2 linked regions of the Drosophila melanogaster genome follow. Changing the gene in region 2 together with the main gene of any one other region gives a genetic interaction. Each region holds a gene or a part of one and is shown on either strand. Other genes may lie near its edges.

What was found.
Region 1: of toe (region 2) and fng, changing one suppresses a phenotype caused by changing the other (phenotypic suppression), as found in Drosophila melanogaster (one study listed by BioGRID).

What each region holds. Positions count from the first base shown.
Region 1 is NT_037436.4:20,944,742-20,954,879, reverse strand, and holds the start of fng (fringe), read left to right. Parts: upstream 1-5,367; 5' UTR 5,368-5,578; coding exon 5,579-5,710; intron 5,711-10,138. UniProt on the Drosophila melanogaster protein: Glycosyltransferase involved in the elongation of O-linked ligands to activate Notch signaling. Possesses fucose-specific beta-1,3-N-acetylglucosaminyltransferase activity; extends the O-linked fucose on the Notch EGF repeats.
Region 2 is NT_037436.4:12,427,212-12,437,349, forward strand, and holds the start of toe (twin of eyg), read right to left. Parts: upstream 5,458-10,138; 5' UTR 5,103-5,457; coding exon 4,865-5,102; intron 602-4,864; coding exon 347-601; intron 1-346.

The sequences.
Region 1 (10,138 bases), 8.5 Mb from region 2:
GCGCTGTTTCGCATTAAGTTTATTTATCTGCTTTTAAATGGCATTTTCACTTGCATATAATTCTCGTCCTTCTCCCATGTAATGCGCACTGGAAACAAAGGCAACATAATGTAAGAGCCGCCATAACAGCACGAAGATGCCCAGATACTCCGAACTGCGCACTCCATGACTACCATTTACCACTACTATTTTTATCAGTGGCTAGGCCGCGACGTGCCCCACGTGGAGCAGCAAGGAGCAGCATAGAGCAGCATGGAGCAGCCTGTAGGATAGGAGCTGATTTCGACATGCAAGACAACATGCTAGCTGGCACCTACTTTGCCCATCGAGAGATTTACAGATGAAGCCGTGCTGGGAATGGAAAGCAAGGAAAAAAAAAACCGACCAGAACCAAGTGATATCCATGCCATTTGCCAATCAAACAAATCAAATAGGTAGAGCGGATTCGGTTACAACAGTTTTATAGATCCCATTCCGGGATCTGTTAATTAAAAGATACACACGTACTTTTAGTAGAAAAGTAAAGCAAACAAATCTTCGGGTCTGTACAAATATACTGGATCAATAGCGGCATTCTGTGAGATACATATTCTTGGTTTTACGATGCGCTCACTGTTTCGAGTGTTTGACTGGCTTAAAAGCCAATAAAATTTGCTGTTAATTGTTTTGGTAAATTGAAAATTAGGTTTTGGGAAAAATCATCGCACAAGTATGCATGGAACGAGTTCAGGCTTGAGTTTCGTATCGGCGTTTCCAGTTTTATGTCCGTTGTTTGCCCAGCGCATTAACTTGGCCACTTTTAATGAACTTTGTGAGTGGAACCATCTGCCGCCATACGATCGAGCGGTCATCAGCGGCCTTAGCCCTTCCAAACGAGACAAATCGAATCGCTTTGCCGAAAGCGAGCTGAACTTTAATCGGATTAAATGTAATTTAACTTACTTCTATGACTTTTACCACCATTCCAGCGCTGTGTCGGCAGAAATCGGTTAATTAAAGTTGTACAAAGTTCCAAGCCGATTTCATGCCGCGTTGAATCAACAAATTGTAAACTTTTCCGTACTATCCAACTAACTGGGGGCTGAAGGGTAAGGGAGCAGCACAAGATGGGGGAATCATTTGTACTTACTTAAGTGCTTGATCATGCTGATATCATCACCTGGCAACTTTCCTTTGTGCCCTGCGTACCCACAATGCAATTAGCGGGGTCTGCAGACGCCAGGTGGTCTCCAGTTTCTCGCATCTCCACTCTCATCGCCCGCAATCTTAACCATCGAAAACCATCAGGAATCGGTAAAGAAATAAATACAAGGAATATTACAATATGGGTGCAGCGAAATTGGAGGCGGGTTCGAGTCGAAATCGCTGTGCTCTTCGTTGCGATTCTTACTGTACTGAACATTATAACAATGCGCTCTTCTATGCGATTCTCAAAAGATTTACGTAAACTGTTTAGCAAAATGCATGTCAAAAAAAAAAGGATCTCAATTTGCTTTATGTTTTAAAGTTTCTCGTTATACACTTTCTTATCCAACTCCCTATCAAAACCATCAAACCCTTCATATAGGGCAACACTGACTCAAAAAATCGAGCCGCTGTGTTGACAGTTATTGATCGATGATATTGTAAACACAATGTCGAAATTAATTTTTTATTTTTCTCTCTGTTTTCGGGCTTTTCTCCGGTCTGATCTGTTACCTTCAATTGTACGAACTCATTGTGATGAATTGTAATTGACTTTTATTTTGACTTCAGCGGTTGGTCTTAATGAATCCGCTTAAGCTGCCTCCAGTGCCGTGGAGTTCCCCTTTTTCCTGTTCATTTTCCACGTTCAAAGGGGGGGGGGGGTGAGCTCAACGTTCCAATAAGTGACACTGACTAATTTGGAACCATTAATCTCGGAGCTGCTTAGCGTCAGTCACGCTGGTCGGGCAGCCATCAATACGCATCAAAATCGAATGCGAATAGTGCATGTTTACATGGATGGATGTGCAACACAACAGGAGACACACTTCTAGGTCAGCACGTATAGGTATATATTTTAAATATAACTATTATTTTTGTTACTGTTATTCATGCACATATTCTTAAAATACTACCAGCAGATAAGTGCTATTATTTTGACCGCAATTGTGGCCCAACAGTCTCCATGACGAATGTGTGACCGCTGCGTCTCGCTTGGGTGTCGGTCGTTTGGTGTTCCTACTTTGCCTCCATTTCTAAGCCCAGTGTGCAGTACTAAGAGCCCATTCCGATTTTCATAGAGCCCACCCATTCCCGTTCCCCATTTCCGCGGACATTGAGCCGAGTGCGGTCGTGGACTTGGACGTGGATTTGAATCTGGATGCCGACGTGGACAAGGCGTCCAATCAAGCCGCGTGTCTGGCAGTCAACTAGTCACTCACTTCGGCCACAGAGACTGCGTCGGTCCGTCAGTCAAATACTCGCTTTAATTTCGACCTCCTCGCGATTAGCGAAAGCACCAGGAGAAATATGTTTGGCGATTAAAACGTATGTTCCAAGTAACTAATATTTATAGTTATCATTTTTTATTAACAATTTTTATTTGGCACAATTTTTACGACATGACTTTTATCCTCATTCATCTATTCAATCTAAGTGCAGATTTCCGTTGAAAGGGAAATAATTGCTTTTAAAACAAAAAAGTTATTTAAATGCTGAGCTAATAAAATATTCAGGTTTATTTCGCGGTGTATTGCTGCATGAGTTGCTGGAGCTGCATGACTACCGGGCATAATTCCTGCACCACCGAACGAAATATGGTACCGAAATGAACACATTGCCAGGTTGGCGGTTCTGCGCACGCGCACAGTTGTTGGCCAGGCTTAAAGGCCCCTTCGTTGATGCCCTGAAAGCACTCTCGTTCCTACCCTGCTCCATCCCCATCACCATTCGCATCCTCCGCTCCATCTGCGGCTCGCTTTGGCCTGGCGACACTCGTAACCGCAGGGCGACGGCGCAGCCCGTTTTCGATTAACGATGACCGTGGTTGAGGACCAAGACGAGGACGCGGATGGAGGCAACTTGAGCGTGTGCCAGCCGAGCGAAATTTTATCTGGATGCCCAGCCGATCAGTTGAGAAGCTAGAGCTAGGCTACACTGAAAAAAAGTGATTTCAAATTATTTTTAAAGGTGAAACCATTTCAGAAAACATTTTTGTTGTGCTGCAAGCTGCATGCGAAGTTGTATGGTATTTTCAAAAGTGTTATTGAACAATTATTTTTTAATTTTTATGGAGATCTTAAAATGGTTTGGGATGTGTAAGTCCGAGTTGAGCACTGAGTCCGTGGCAACGCCTTCGGTTTACATTTTACAATCCTAACAAGGTTAGGCCGCCCGATAAACGGAGCTGCACTCGTTTGGTTATAAGGCTAGGTTGTGATCTGGGCTTTTCAGCTGAAGTTGCAGTTGAAGATGCAGTTGAAGTTGCAGCCGAAGTTGGAGGCTGGGGATCGGAACTTGGAACAGGCAGCTTGCAGCTGGAGGTGGCACATGCCTAACCGGCAACCAAGCTGCTATGCAAACACACACACACACACACACTTATACGGAGCGGAATGGTGGCCATGGCTACGAACTGTACATACGGAATTGCACATTAAAAATGAGCAATGGGAGTGGGCGGAATACGGAGGAATGGGAAGTGGGTTCCGAGGGTTTCGTGGCAAGCGGGCGGCTGATTCCAGCCGAGCGATGTCTTTTTCTGTGGCAGAACAAGGTTGGAATGGCCTGCGTCGCCGCTACCACCGTCTCTGCACCGGTAGAAAAATCATACTGACATAATAATAAACTAATAAAAATAATTAAAACACTGTGAAGGCCAATTGATTTTGCTTGCTCATTTGGGTACACACAATGGCCACTTAAGTTAAACAGTTTTAAAGCCCCTGGGTAATTGTCGATGGTTCTAAATTTATGCTAAGCTTTTGTATTTAAAGGGCTCAGTCTTAAATAATCTAAAACATTAAACTATTAAGGGTTGGATAGATTTTTCAGCTGACACAAGGCGATAAAAGTTTACATTTTTATGCTGTTCTCTTACCGAATTAAATACGAATTCACTATTTTCTTGCAGTGCTCCGCCGACTCTGCTTAATGCAATTCAGGCGAAAGGCGCACAAAGGGACAGCGAACAAGATGCCGAGTTGCTGATTGTGCGGGCAGCGCAGTCGACGCGGGCAGAGGTGTCCGCAAAAGCTTTTGTCGCCGCCACAAACATGGAATATGACAAGCTGGTGAGGAGTAGGATGGGATTCGGATTGGGATGGAATGGGATCGAGCTGAATGGGCTGAGAGCAGCAAGAGGAGGAGGAACGGGAAGATACTGCTGGATGGTGCCTGGCATGCAAAGCATTGTCAAGTGGGGAGCAGGCCAAGTGCTACACAAAAACCGAGCGACAAAGAAACGTCGCAGAACGCTGCCGACGCACGTGAGATGTGGATGCATTTGATGCACGGAGCGAGAAAGGGATGTAGAAATTAGTAGTTTGAAATTATTGTAAAAGAATTCTTCTGTTTGTATTTTTTAGTTAAATTAATTACTTATCCATAAATACACTGTCTAACTATTTCTAAGCCACTTAAAGGTATAATATAATCTGAAAAGACCTCTCTATTTGAAATAAAATTTCAATGGTAAATAGAGGAGCGGCTCTTGAATGTTTAAATAAAGTTTAATGCTTGCACTTTTTGTTCCAAGTGCATGATTTAAGAGTGTGTAGGCTTCCCTGTGTGGGCAGGGTAGGGAAGCCAGGCGAAAGAGCGATGGAGAGAGCGAGAGACAATGGCGACAATAAAAATGCGATCGCACAACATGCTCCACAGATAAGTTAACGCAAAGTGACAACGTACAACTTTTAATGGAATTGTCGTCGCCGACGGTGGGCGGTGGGGCGTGGCAGGGTAGTCAGGAGGGGAGTGGGGGTATATATGACATAGCCAAGAAGTCACCGCATTTGGAGCGCTGCCAAGTCAGTTGAACTATGTTTACTTTAAGGATACGGCCGCCACCTGGAAAAGGGACCTTCAAAGGCTGCCTTACACGATTCCGAATCCCCGATTCCGATCAGAAGTGGGCTGAGTGGGGGTCGACACACGAGCACATGAAAATTGCCTTCGGCAGCTACTGTGGCACAAGCTAAAGAGAGAGGATGAGAGCGAGCGCGATCGAAGAGAGAGCGCCAGCTGCTCCCATTGGAGCAGCTAACGTTTCCAATTGGACCAGCTCAAAGGGAATTCTCTCTCTCTCTTTCTCTCTCGCTACTCTCACCGCTTACTGGTCTTTCTGGTTTTTGTTTTGTTTACGATTTTCGCTGGAAGAAGAGAAGAGTAGATCGCGCTACCACAATCAGTTGCTTTTCAAGCTTGCCACAAGCAAGACGTCAGTGCGCGCGTGCTGCGATATCGAAATCGAAATAAACTTAAAAGATATCGTAATTTCAGAAATCGAGCAGAATTCATACGATCCAGGAAAAGAACCAGCTAATATTGGAATATAAAACCTACCCAGTGATCAAATCGGCGGTGCTTCAATGTGCGCGTAGTGGTCCGTAACCGTATGATGAGCCTGACTGTGCTCTCGCCACCGCAACGTTTTAAGCGAATCCTGCAAGCCATGATGTTAGCCGTCGCCGTCGTCTATATGACCCTACTGCTCTACCAGAGCGCCTACGGATATCCGGGCATCCAAGTGAGTTGCGAGTTCGAGTGGGCGACATAATCCAGCTTGCGTGGGTGTTGTTAGCGCTGCGAAACTGTCAAACGTGTGTGCTCCGCACTGATCTGCATAAGTTGCAAAGCTGCAAAGGCCAGGCAATTTGCATTATCCCCCTTTGATTCCGATCCCGATCGACGTCGACTCGTGCACTTTCATAAATCAACGCCGGCGACTTGAGTTTTGCAGCTGCGGCTTTGGCCGTTAAAAAAACCTTTTACGCCCTTGCCTTGCATATAAAACAGTTTCGGTGCTTGGCTTTTTGCGCTTTTATACCCTAATAGGGGGTATCATAATTGAACACAAATTTCGGCGAGGAAGCGTTTTAAAAGGATATACCCTACGATTGGTGATTGGATGGGGATCGGTATCACGGGGAATTCATTTGGAACTAAGGACTTGATTGCTTTAGAAATTGTGCAGAAGTTTATGTAGAGGTAGTGCCTAGCTTAGTGGTTTGTTTCAAAAATGGAAATATGATCCTGAATTTATTTGTTTTTTTTTTTTACAATTAAGCTTATATTTGATTGATTTAAGGACAAGAGAATGTAATTCTGTTAAAGTTGATGTTCAAAGATCGGCTCGCATTATCGAGACATTATTAAAATCCTAAAATCATACCATTAGGCACTTGGAATATATTTTTGAAAATCACCAATACTTTCCAATTCCCACAAGAGTATTCCCAGTTTCGATTACCGAAGATCCAGTCAACCGTTCCTGAATTTCTTGGTTTGCCGTCGGCAGAGCGTCGCCAAAGCTTTCAGTTGCCTGATTCCAGGGCCTGTCAGGGTTCTGAGCCCTGTCTGCTCTGCCCATTTATTATTGTTCTCTTCTTACTCTTGATTTTTGCATAAATTTTTGTGTAATAAAATATTGTGTGCTAATATTACCAAGGTGTGCGCTGCGAGGGGGGATCTCATGGAGGTGAATCTCAATGGACTCGTCCAGTGGAAAACCTTGTCAGTTGCATCACAGATAACAAATAGTTGAGGTCCGTGGGAATGGCCTTAGTTAGCCTCCTATTGCATTGCAAACACTTTTTGGCAGGGTTTTATGCGAACAGGCTATTTTTAGAACCCTTGAAATTCGAACTATGTGTCCACCTTCTAGGATTATCATATTTTAAAAACTTTAAATGAAACGACGCCATAAGAAAATAGTGCACATATTTTTAATCAGTTGCATATACAGATTCCTCAAAGTTTTCTTCCAACATTTCTTTATATAGTTCGATTTTTGTTAAATGAACCCTACTGCTGTAGTTATACCTTCAACTGTTACAGCTCCCTAACTAAGGCTTACAAATTTCATAATATTAGTGATTCGAGCCGCTGGCAATAGAGTTAAGAGCTCATAATTGAATCAGCTGCAGCATCCTCAAAAATATCCATGTAATCCCCTTGCCCTTCACCACCTTCCGGCTTCTCAATTTGCAACTCAATTGCCCAACTTCGAGGCTTCGAGGCGAGTTTGTGGAGGCTCCCCTGTAATGTTTTCGCATGCTGCTGCTAGTGTAATTAAAAACTTTATGTTGTTTTAATTCGGACAATGCTGTTGACGTTGTGGCTCTTCCAGTTGCTCTACTCTTTTTTTTATTTTTGTGTTCTGGGGCTAACCGGAAACTTGGCAGGAATTAGTGCTACACACACATCGCACTACTAAATACTGAGCCGGATAAAAAACTGTCGACAACTGCTGTACTGTTGTTTGTCTTTTCAATTGAAGTTCTGTTCCATCGGAGGTCTGTGACTTGTCCCAGTTTAAAAACTGCATGCCGCGTACAATTTGCTTAATTCTTTTCGTACTTCGTATATGAGTGTTCTCTTTTTGTTCCTAAATGTTGCGCAAAAAGTGCTGCTTGTTGACTTGACATGACTTGGCTTGGCTCGATTCTTCGAACTGTTGAACAGCTAAACAGTCGACTGGACACATACTCGCGCTAAACTGGGCTTGGCATTCGCCTGATAAAGCAATAATTTCGAAATCGGGCGGGGGCGGGGCGGGGGTATTGTCATGGGGGTCTCCATCAGCCCCACAACCCTGCCTATCCAAGATTCCCAGTATCTGATGTCTCATGTCCAGTTGCAGCTCACGTCGCCAGGTCGCCAGGTTGGCATGTCGCGTGTTGCTGACGCATAAATCATAAATGAAACGAAATGAATAATAATCGTCAAACGATTTGCTTGTTTATGAATTTCTTTAAAGTGGCGCGCCAAATGGCCACCAGTCGCTGATTGATTTGAGTAGTTTGTTGTGGCTACACTGTGATCAGCTTACCGATGACACATCGATATGGATAGTAGATTACTTACGTGCATTTATGAACGTGCACAATATAGATTTTTTCTGTAATGACATCTAATTCTTCTTCTAAGATATCCGAATTTATTTTCCAGTATGGACTTTCAAATATTTTTGACGAGTGCATGGTAAATACATAATAACATTAACAAACTCCTAAGCTGAGGAGCATGCAAATCAGCTTGAGGAAAGCAACAGCCACAAGAAGCCTTCGAGGCAGCCCGAGAGACAAAGACCACGATGATGATGATGATGATGATGTGATTCCTGTTTTTGGCCAGGCCAAAAGCAGGTGCTTGCTCTTCACTTCCCATGGCCAACTTAATGCAGCTGGTTGCAGCTACCTTTCCGTGGCCCCTCGATCCACAAAGCCCTCCTTCTGCCCGCCGCTCACGTAATCAGCCCGAAAAAGTTGACGACATTAAGCCGCGGAAGGCGCCTGATAAAAGGAGTAGTATCTGCAGCTGGGCAACCGAGTAAAAGATACCCATATCTGGGTATCTGGGTATCTTTTGGTGGTCGCTTAATTGAGCCTGGATGCTCGGATGCCTGGCTGCTGAGCTGCTGCTGTTGTTGTTGTTGTTGTTGTTGTGTGTATCTTATCTTAGATTCGTATCTTACGGATAATATTGTTAAACAGCATTTAATGAAGATTTTCCCGCTCGCCCAGCTGGAGGCGAACGAACGGTTCTGATTGCATTTTTTCGGGAATGCCTTTGATTTGTTCGATTTCGCTGATTTATGCTTTCCGTTATGGCGACCAGAGTTTAACTCAATTAATCTTCCCAAAGGTCGCCTGAGAGGGGTAGATTCCATTTGGCGCCCTTTCATATTATTCACTCGCACCTCTTCGCTCGATTCTTATGGTTTGCTCGTTATTAATTGACATGGAAATGTTTATAAACATATTAATCACGCGGCTAATGAAGCATTAGTCATTCGAGTGGGCGTAGTGGGGGGCAGCTGTTGCTATTGTGCGGACCGTGTTAAATTTGTTTTGGGATTTTATATCTATTGAATCACCTTTCACCCGGCACTTGTATGTTGTAGGCTGTACATTTGAAGAAAAAATTTGAGTTCTATTAGAAAATACGAAATAAGAATAATGGTGCAAGGGTAGTTTACCAAAAATGTATTCCATATAAAGTGCTTGCTTACATATTAGCCAATTAGCTTTTTTGATGTGTGTGGTTAAAGTGTATTCTTTTCTAAAAGTTTTTACTTCAATTTGGCTTATTGTAGTTGTCAAAATCCGCAGGCGGCCTGCATATATGGGCACACGTGTTTATGTATCTCCAGCTGAATCTGAATCAGAATCCGCAACTGTGAATATGTATCTGTATCGGTGCTTGTTCAGTTTCATCACGTTCGAGTAATTCGCAAATCCCACAAAAGTGTCACAAGGCATTGCTGTTTTCATAGTCCGTAGTCCGTGTACTTGATTTGCATACTTGTACGGTTAAGCCACTTGCATCATGTCGGGGATTGGAAAACTGGCGCACATTCTAATCCGATCCAAACCTTGAATTTACGGAACCCGCTTAATTGAAAGAGGCGTTCTCTGCGTTATATAACCAAGTGGCTTTCACTGTCTTGTCTTTAAGCCGAATCCCTCACTCAAGTCACGACTTTTTTGCTATCTTTCTTGAACAAATCTCCAGTGCGATTTCCCATACTCGCGATTTCTGCGCAGCCAAATTAATATTTCAGCAAATTTAATTGCTTCGGGTTTTGAGTTTCGGTTTCCCATCGGCGTCGAAGGCAGTTTACACCTGCCACCGTTATCGTCTCACTCCCGATTTCCTCATTAGGGAGCTGCCATTATATTGAACACCGTTTGGCTGTCGATCGTGCGGCAATAAAATTCTATGAGCCCAACTTGTGGATGGGCTATCAACGAGACAATATCGTGTGAAGCAATATAATCCAGCGGGTTCCAAAGAGAAATCTCTTCTTTTTTTTTGGCGGGACAAAGCTGGGAAGCCAGAGCTAACGCTTAGATTTATAGCGGAAGTTGCCCTACGATTTGCATAGAGTGTTAGAACTGGGCTGTCTTTCGCCCAAGGTATTTCCCATTCGAGCAGACGAACACTCGACCTT
Region 2 (10,138 bases):
TCGAGATTGACATGGCTGGGTATTCTGGCCACAGGTGGCAACAGGTGTGCGGCTGCTGCAGACTGCCTCGCGAGGTAGGTGAGAGGACAAGGAGGGCGTCCAGGTGCAGATGGGGGCGATGGCGATTGCCAATCGATTTGTCGTGTTTACGTGACCCCAACTAACGGAGCCGTGCAAATCGATTGGGACGCTTGGTGACACTTGGCAATTGCATTTGGGGCGCGTGTTTTGTGGTTCCGCTGCGGTTAATGCCGCTGATCGCATTGGTCAGGGTGGTCTAGACCACGTCTGACTTCCTGCTTTCCAAATGCCCTTCGCAACTACCACCCCCCTTTCCCTTACTCACCCAGCAACTTGGATACGGCTCCTTGTTGGGATAGCATATGCTGCGCCAGATCATATCCACGCAGTCCGAAGCGGGACAACTCCAGTAGTCGATGCTGCGAGGCCAGGGCGTTGAGATTCGTGGCCGCCGCCGCTGCTGCTCCTGGTCCCGCTGCTGCACTGCCTCCGCAGAAGATGCCGCCCAACGCCGCAGCAGGGGGTGCTCCTTGGGTGAGGATGGGCGTGGAGGGGCTCAAACTGTGCGGTTGGGCGAGAACTAAAATGGGAGAGCAGAAAAGTAATCATCAGAGCACAGAAAAAAAAATCTTATGATTTTATCTGATCTTGAATAATAGACGTACATTAAAATAACTTATACTAGTTCATAAGTTAAAGATCAATTAGGCAATCAAAATTAATTTTAACATAAATAAATACTTCTTATTGCTCATTCTTTTGTATACCCAATTTTTCTTGGTGCAGGATCGCCAAATCATTAAACGTCAATTGGAATTTAAACGAAGCTGTTGCCGGCATTCCGCGCGTGACACAGAAACACCAAGAAATTTGTAGCCCGATCATCTGGAGAGACTGGGGCTCCAATCATTTTGGGGGGCAGCTGGTATGGACAGCGAACAGAGATGGCTGGACAAATTTCGGTGTGTGTTTTTGATCGACGACGTCAAAGTCAAAGTCGAGCCAGAAGGAGCTGCTCCGTCCTCCATGCCTCCGTCCAGTGGCGGAAGTGTCAACGTTTATGGGCATAATGGACGCGGTGTGGTCCATTACCGCTGACACCGACTGTTGATTCCAGTCGGAATTTATGAAATTCTCGCTGGCAATTTGTAGCTCGGAGCTGGAACTCTGGATCTCTGGATCTCAGTATCTCTGTATCGGAATCACAATCGAAATCGCAGAATTGCGGAATGGGATGGCAGATCGCTTGTCAGCGGACTGGCAGCAATTGGCCATTCCTCGGATGTAGAAGCTTTTATGTTCATTTTGACATTTTATCTGATCGCGAGAACTGCACACATTTTAACACCTCTTTTTTGGTGCGATCGAGCTCCGTGTGTGGCGACGACGGCATGCCATCGTTTTCCCAGTATGCACTTCGATTGGGGCATCTCCTCCAGCTTCGCCAGCTCCTGGGCTAATTAAACCCCATGCAGATGGGACTGGGAGCTGGGAGCTGGACCTGGACCAGCTTACTCCATTTAAAAGTGCCCGGCTGCAATTTGTTGCACTCGCATGTTGCGCCAATTGTTGTGGCCGCGGTTATGGCCATGCTTGATTTATGCCGCCGCAACAGCCGGCCAACTTGGATGTCAACAGGCGGTGAGCTTGCCCCCGGATTGCCCCAGTCCCGGATCCTGTTGCCTGTGTTGCAGTCACAGTCCAGATTCTATGGATCGACCGATGATTTACTACGCAATGCGACAGCTCCGACTGCCCTGCGATGCGCCTCAGTCAATTGCAAAAGCGGCTTAAAATCGCTGGAACCACGGCCCAAAACCAAAGCCACTCGCTCTTCTTCTACATACTGTACACTGACATTTTTAATGGGTGTTTATCCTTATATGGATTAATATGTTAGTGAGATGCTTTCCTAGTATAGCCTTATATTCAGATGAGCGCTTAATTCGAAATAGAAGATATTATATGTTTTAAATATACATAAATATATAATAACATATGTGGTCTTGATTTATATTAAATCTGTTATTATAGTAAATTAATCGAGAGATAATAATTTAAAGGCCAAACATTATTTATGTATTGGTTTATATACAATACATATGTAAATGCTAGCTATTGCTGATTTAAATATATGTACATATACCTGCCTTTAAATGAGTGTTAATAATAGATCCCTCAAACTCGTACTCTTTCTTTGGACTCAGTATGCATTTTTCTCAGTGCATTCGTTCGCACGTCACCGTGAGACTTATAACAAGAAGCGATGCCGATCGGAGTTGGACTAAAGCTCGAACTCGAACTGGGGATCGCAGCTCGCCACAAGTGATGATCGCCTCGGAATTCAATTGATAGTTTGATTTATTGCTACCGGTAACTTTTTGCCGCTTCGTCCCCAGCCCCCCTCCACCCCTCTCCATCACCATCCATCCAGCCAGCCAGCGCATATAAATTAAAGTTGCTCGCTTTTTATGTGGCTCCTCGACGCATCCCCATCCCGATCTCCTCTAACCACATACCCATCCCAATCCCAATCCCAATCCCCTTCAGTTAGTGCTCGCTGATCTTGTTTGTCGCGCGCAGCGCATTACTCGTCCTCTGGAAAGCGAAGCTTCTGGTTTTTACTGCCAGTGCGCATTACTGCGATCTTCGCACATTTTCCTAAGCTCCAAGAATTTTGCGGCGGGGCGACGTGCTCTTACATAAGTCAGTCTAATTTTATGCCATCCTTTATTGGATTTCATTGTACGGCTCTGGCTTATGGTCCATGGCTATTAATTGTGGCTAACCAGTATGGTGCAAAAATGCAAATTGAAATAAAACACCTTTATCTTTTCACAGATGCATAATTGCTTTTTAATTGTGTATCTAATTTTGTATGTTTATCTCAACGATGATAAAACGTAGCCTTGGACAAATCTTTTGGGACTATTAAATTGGATTGAAAAAATATGGGTGTGTTCCGTATCACTTAAAATTTCAAAATTCATAGGAATATTAAAAAAGTAATGATGTTGTACGGGAATTAATCATTGAGGAGAACTGATATGAGTTTAGTTTGGAGATCTTTACATTGTGAGCTATACCAAATAAAGTTATGATATCTATTTCTAAAGGTAGCACACTTTAGTAAGTACTAATATTACTCTTTTTGCATATTGTTAGCAATGCCCAAAATGTCCTGAAATGGTGACCCCGATTCCTTAGCCGGAAGAATCACCATCTGGGCTGACACACATATTCGCCAACGTAACGCAAGTGGAGAGTAACGCAAGGAGTTCGGACCATGTGCATACGAAATGGCCAAACCTAACCATACCAAAAACCGAACTACATACAAACCATACCGAGCCCCAGCGAAACTGAGGCACTCCTCGGAATCATTGTGCACACCTTTTATACGCTTGGCTTTCTAAGAATAATGTGAATACACGCACCACGTAACCTGAGAGCCCTAAGTATGGTTTCTGCCCTATGCTTAAACTTCAATGTATGCCATGTACCTTCCACCCCCCTTCGATTCTCCCCCCCCCCCTTCTCACCTCTTTTTGGTGTCTCTTTTTCAGTGAGTCTCTACCTCTCGGGGCTCTTTTTATAATTATTTATTTATTGTGCAACTTCCAACACCTTCCAGAGACAAGTCAAAGCTTTGCTGTCCGCTGCGTCCCGCTTTTTCCATCCGGGGAATATACTCGTACTATGTGTGTGTGTATCTTGCAGATACATTCGATGGCCGCCGACGTGAACTAATTTTATTTGACAACCCATACTTGTGCAAAACAAATTGCCACTGATGTGCGAAAGACCAAAACAGTTGCCACAGCTCAGTTGTGTCTTGCTGCGTGTTGCTGCTGCTGCTGCTGCGTTGCTGTTGTGAAATTTCCAAATCATTGCACTGCTCCAGCATGCATTTGACTAGTGCCACCAGTTTCTTGTGCCCGGTTGGCTTTTGTTTTAAACTGTTTCGAGCCCCCGATTCCCGATTCCATGTCAGTTCACGGAATTCGCCCGAATCTTGCGGCTCACATGGAGCGTGCAGCAATAGCAGTGCCACAAGGGGCAACATTAGTAGTAAAATCAACTAAGAAACCAACGAACTTAACTTAAACGTTAGTGGAGATAAAACATTTGTAGTTCTCGTGCAAAATAAAAAAAAAAAACAATCAAACAATCGGAAAATCAATGAATTTAAAGGCTATTTAAGTTACTTTTAAAGCTTTGGTGCTAAAAATAATAAGACAAACCTGTATTTAAAAATTACAAAAATAATTTGCTGTACGTGAACAAATTAAAAAAAAAAACAATTTAAATAAAATTTTTAGGATTGGGCATTGTAAGAATTTAATTGGATGATAATACATTTTATATGCTGCTGACTTTAATAAAAGTTTATATTTTAAATCCTTATTATCCTTATAATCCTTATACTTGTTAGAAATATAATACAATATATTATTATATAAATATAATATAATGTAATTAGTAAACGAAAGAATGCATAGAAAGTTTCTCAGATGAATTCTGAATTGTATTTGGTTTTGAAAACTGAAAACTGTCAGTTATGATTTTTCATACGTTTTCCCATTCAAAAAATATTACTAAATTTTTTTTAAATAAAACTAACTACTCCTTTTCTGGATGAGCACATTTTCTTTAGAAACTCATATATGATACTTTTACTGAAACTTAAGCCTGTTAAAATTCAAATTAAAGTCGATAAAGTCATTAAAAAGTTTTTTTGTTAAATTAGAAAGGAGCGTTTTGTTCCAATCGAACTCGCATCAACAATAAATTAAAATGTGCCAAACAAGGCTTGTAAAATATTATTTATTTTAGCACTCACCTGTGGTAGCAGCCGTGGGCGAAACGGGCGTGATTGCCGCCGGCTGACCGACGCCTCCCGCGGAACTGCCCAGCAGTTGGAGATGCGACGGCAACGGCACGGCGGCCATGGGCATGATGGCGCCGGGGGATTGAGAGCCGGCGGTGGCGGTAGCGGGAATTGCGGGTGCTGCTCCTGGCAGGGAGACTCTAATGGCTGCAGTTGTCCTTGTGGGTCCGGGTGAGGTGCTGGTTGCCATGCCACGCTTCCAAAAATCTTCAAGCGCCAGCAATGCAATTGATGTGTTTGGCTATTTTTTTTTTCTCAGTGAACAACAGGCGGCATTTTGTGGGCTTTCTGTGTTTCACCGACGGTTTTTTTGAAAGGGATTATTTGTGAAATTTTTGTTTTTTTTTTGGCACGCCACTCGAAAACGCGCACCGAAACCGCTCGCTTGTGTTGCTGTTGCAAGTTGCACGTTGCTGCTTCTGTTGCTGCTTCTGTTGCGGCTGATGTTGCTGTTGCGTCGTGTTGTTGCTGCTGCTGCTGCTGCTGCTGCTCAACGCTCGCTGACTCGACGCGCACCGCACTTCGCACTCAAACTCAACGCCCGCCGACTCGCTGAATGAGACTGAACTCGGAGCCACCGGCAGCGCAATATCTTACTTGGCCAAAACCTGGATCGGGTTGCTATAGCTGTTGTGTTGCTGCATTCTGGTTTGCCTGTGCTTGTGGTCGGTTTGCCACTGAGCATTCAGCCGTGTTTTTTTTTTCCGCCTCTGAGTGTGTGTGTGTGTGTGGGGGGGTGCGTTAGTGTGTGTGTGCTCGCTTTGAGCGTCGCCCCATTGAGCAGTTTGCTGAGGAAATGAGAGGCAAAATCGGAGGTGGAAAAAAATATGCCGAGAAAAGCGTAGCAGTTGTAAAAGTTCAATAATTAATTACTCGGGCATTCGATTTCAGTGCATTGTTTATCAAAAACTTTCTGGCCCGAACTGCGCTACCAGTTGCTTTCGGCCTTTTAATTGAGCGGCGTTTTTGTTTGGTAATACATACGTGGTGTTGGCCAGTTGGAAAAGTTGTTATATGGAAATGCCGACACCACGAATCGGCTGTCAATCATCGATCACCAAAGGAAGCACTGAAAGAAACACTCAGCTTGAGTGATTTTAGGGAAAGTAAATAAAACACAATAAGATATGATATTATATGATATGCTGCCTAATCCTTTAATACAATTGGAAAATTGTGTCTATATAAAGATGTAATATTAAGTTCTATAATAATGTGCCATTAATGTTATTACAATTTTTATATATATTTGTTTTCTGACTATTGTATTGATTAATTCATGAGATAAACATTCAAAGGGCTGTAGGCGGTAAACTATTTAATATATCATGTTTGCATTTAAATACGTTTATATGTGATGTGTGCAAACTATACATAACAAAAAACAGTTTTCTCTTTATCCCAAAATCCGATAATTTTAAATCGTTTAAATTTAATATGAAATGTTAAATTTTTTTGCGTGATTCCCATATCCTTGGCTCCCGTACACTGAACCCCTTCTTCTTCTGTTTCTTCCCCAAAATCGAGGATGAGCAAAAAGCGCATTACACGGGACATTGGCGGACATTAGTGACTTGGCCGGACGAGAAACCAATGAATCCACGTTGGACGCGACTCCACTCATTTTGGCCAACCACCGCGGTGGTTACTAGCCAAGTGGGGTGTGCAGTTTGGGTGGCAAGGAGGTGGTAAGCAGCGACGTAACCGATTAACTAGGTGGAGAAAAAGAGAGCGAGATAAGGCTGCGCAGCAAAGGAGACAGAGCGAGAAGGAAAGCGCAATATGCATTGCGATTGCAGTGGAGTGACAGGAGCGGCACGAGGTGAAGATGGGTCGGCTAATTGATTTATTTCGCCCACTGTTCCCCTCTCACTCCCACTTGTTCGCTGGTTGGCTGAGTTACAGAAATCAGGAGCCGTGTAATAATGGCCGCCAACTTTTAAGTCTGTGTATGTACATATGCATGCATGTGTATTTGGGCCCTTTAACGTGAAATGATTTTTGCACAGCCAGAGGTGTTGTTATTGCAACTCCCCACTGCAGCGGCACTTCTCTATCCCCCCTTTCTTTTCCAGTGGGTGTGACAGAGAGGCGGCGAACGGACAACCTCCCACACTGATAATGGAAAATAATCAATTTTAATGGCCTATAATTTCGCAGCGCAAAATAACAATGATTCTACGGAGATAGAGAGGCACAAGTTTTGCCATTCAAAATGCACAGCCATGCACGCAGCGCACATAACTTTTGCCAACGCAGGCGTACTAATTTATTTATGTTGATAGAAGACCAGGCAAAAGTTGCTTCCACTAAAAAATATACATATATATGTATATATGACAAGAAAGAAAAAAAACAGATTAAAAGAGAGGGAGATCGCGTTGAGCTCGACTCACCTTCACCTTACATAATTTGAGACAAACTCAAGTTAGCTGGCCAACTGAGTGAGAGCGAGTGAGAGGCGTGTCTGAAGAGCAGACGCGCAGCTGCGCACTAGCTATAGAGTTGTCTTTCTTGCTCCCTTGGTAACTGGAATACCTAGTTATGCCCAATGGGAGAACACTAAGAAAACTCAAAGAAAGGCAAAGTGCCAGTGATTGTCAGAAGGGGGGGCTGAAAGGGGGCCTAGTGTTGATCGGATGTTAAGCAGCGGAATTAACTCGCGCTGCCCAGCCCCTCCACTTCCCCCTTCTGATTGATTTCGGCCTGCATGATTGATTAGATTAATAACGCGGCTAATTAAACATTTATCACTGTATCTAACAAACCGCCCGAGGGGGCGCAAATTAACCCTCCAAGACAACACAAATTATGCCTTCTGCTACAGGCCAACTTCTTTGAATACAACCTTGTTAATTTATTAATTTAAATCAGATAATATTTGTAAATTTAATGCACAAATTATAAAAGTTAGTAAGTATCCCAATAACTTTTTAATAAATGTATAATAAATTTAGTGCATTTACCTTGTTTAACATAAATACTAATGTTAAGATAGGATTTTCATTCAACAACAGTAAAACCATTTAAATTTTGTTTTGAAGAAAAAAGTAATTCATTCAATCATATCTATTTAGCCTATCTTTAATATAATATCTCTAGTTTTTGGTAGTAAGAATCTCGACCACGAACAAATAAAAGAAAAGCATTGTCTCAAAAAAACCTTCAAAATTAGTTGAAAAATCATGTTTTATATTAAATTTATAGTTTATATAATAAATGGAAATTCGGTTTAAGGGCGTTCGACTGTGTGCGACTATGTGCCTGCTTCTAATTGCGTTTCGTGCAACTTTTTCGGGGATGGGCGCATTAATTATGGCCGCCTTGGCTAACGCCTGCCGGCCGCCATTATTTCGGCAGCAAAGTGGCCAAGTTCCAGCCAGATAGCCATCTAGTATCTACATCCCAGCCCAAAGTTACCCAAAACTAAGAGCCCAGCCCCGTGTGCCGTGCATATTTGTGGTAGCCACGCTTCCTGTTTTTGTTTGCTCGCCTGTCCGTTTGCCCGCCGTCCGTTTGTCCGTATGTCCGTTGTCCGGCTGAAAATATTCCAAACAATGTAGACAAGAAGTGCTCAGGCCGGGCGGAGTTTTTGTGGCCATGGTTAGCGACGCGGTGGTGTTTACCCACATGTAGGCATATGCATATGCTGATTTCCACCAAGGCGGGGGTCATAGTCTTTTTTCTTTTTTTGAGGGGGGTTTGTGGTGGAGGAGTGGGCCGTCAGCTTGGTGAACCGTGAAAAACCCTGGGGTAGAACACTCCTCCAACCCAAACAGAGAAAGAGAATTTCGTAATGTTAACAAACAAATAGAAAATAACTTTTAGGCACAGCTCTGTAGCTTCCTCATAGAGAAAAACCTTTCGCTGGAGGTTCTACACACAAAGAGAAAACTATTACAATCCATAAGATACGAAAATCTTTTATATATGCCTGAATTATTGAGCTATCTTTACTCGCTTGAAACTTAGCCTTTTAAATACCAACGGAATGCTATGAATAAACATCTTACCCTGATAATATCTCAATATAATAGAAGGTAACTTCGGAATAAGAAATCTTAGAATTTGTTTCTTCAGTAGTAAAACATTTTTTTTTCTCAGCGCAAGACCTTCTTTCTAGATACGAAATCCAGCGGAAATATGCTCAAGTTTCTGTTTTTGTTGGTCGGAAATGTTTAGCGCTTGCTCAGAATGATTAAAGTGTCGCTTTTTGTCTAGTTCCATTTGCTTTTTCCCATTTGCATACAAATGTTCCTCAAAATTTCGCTGAGTAATGCGAAAGCAACCAAATCTACTTCATTGTAGGTTAAATTGCAACGACTTCCTGATTCTTCTTAAAAGTTGGTGTAACCGCGAATTAGATTTTGGAATGTCATTAACTCTTATAAAAAAGGTATCTTTATATAATATACTATATGAATCTTAGATTAATATTCATTATTTTGTAACATTCTCTGATTTAGTTATGATGGCGTTATAATCCCTTAATCCATTTCTCAGCTCCGTCACTCAGATTTCGATACTAAAATCGGCGGGCGTCTGAGTCATGTGCTCCTCCTTCGATATCACGGCGAGCACGCACCACTCGGCCGGCGGAATGTAATGATTAACTCTTCGCAGTTGCTAAATTAAGTGAGTTTTTACTGCTCCCCACGAAATGGGATGGGAAGGGGGGAGGCACAAGGTGTTTGGGGAGTGTCGCCGAGCAGGGAATACTGACTGCATCATCGACTGGAGTCAACTTGCAGTTGGCCAGCTGAATACTGAGTGGGTTAAGGGGGGAGAGCGGAAGATCACATTGCGTGTCTGGGGCCAGAAATGATTTCCACATACCACAGCAGTTAAAGCCCTTAAGTCAGGGAGAAAATCCAATTAAATTCGGTAGCGAAAGAAATAAGTCTGAACTGTCGGCAAAATGATTCTACATACACGTATTTGCGTCAACATTGATTTCGCAGCAAACAGAAACATCCAAACAGGGATTCGCTCTGCTCGGACTCCTCGCCGGATTCGGGGGCCAGTGCGGACACTGAGCGGATCCAAGACAAAGACGCTCCAAGACGAATGTAGTTCATGTGCATGGCGATGGCGTGATTGAGGACGAACCCGAGGACAGCGGCACCAGCAGCAACTTCAGCAAAAACGGGAGCAGCGGCAACATCAGCAGCGGTAGCAATAGTACACATAGAAAAAATACTACACATTCATTTGGGCAATTAAAAC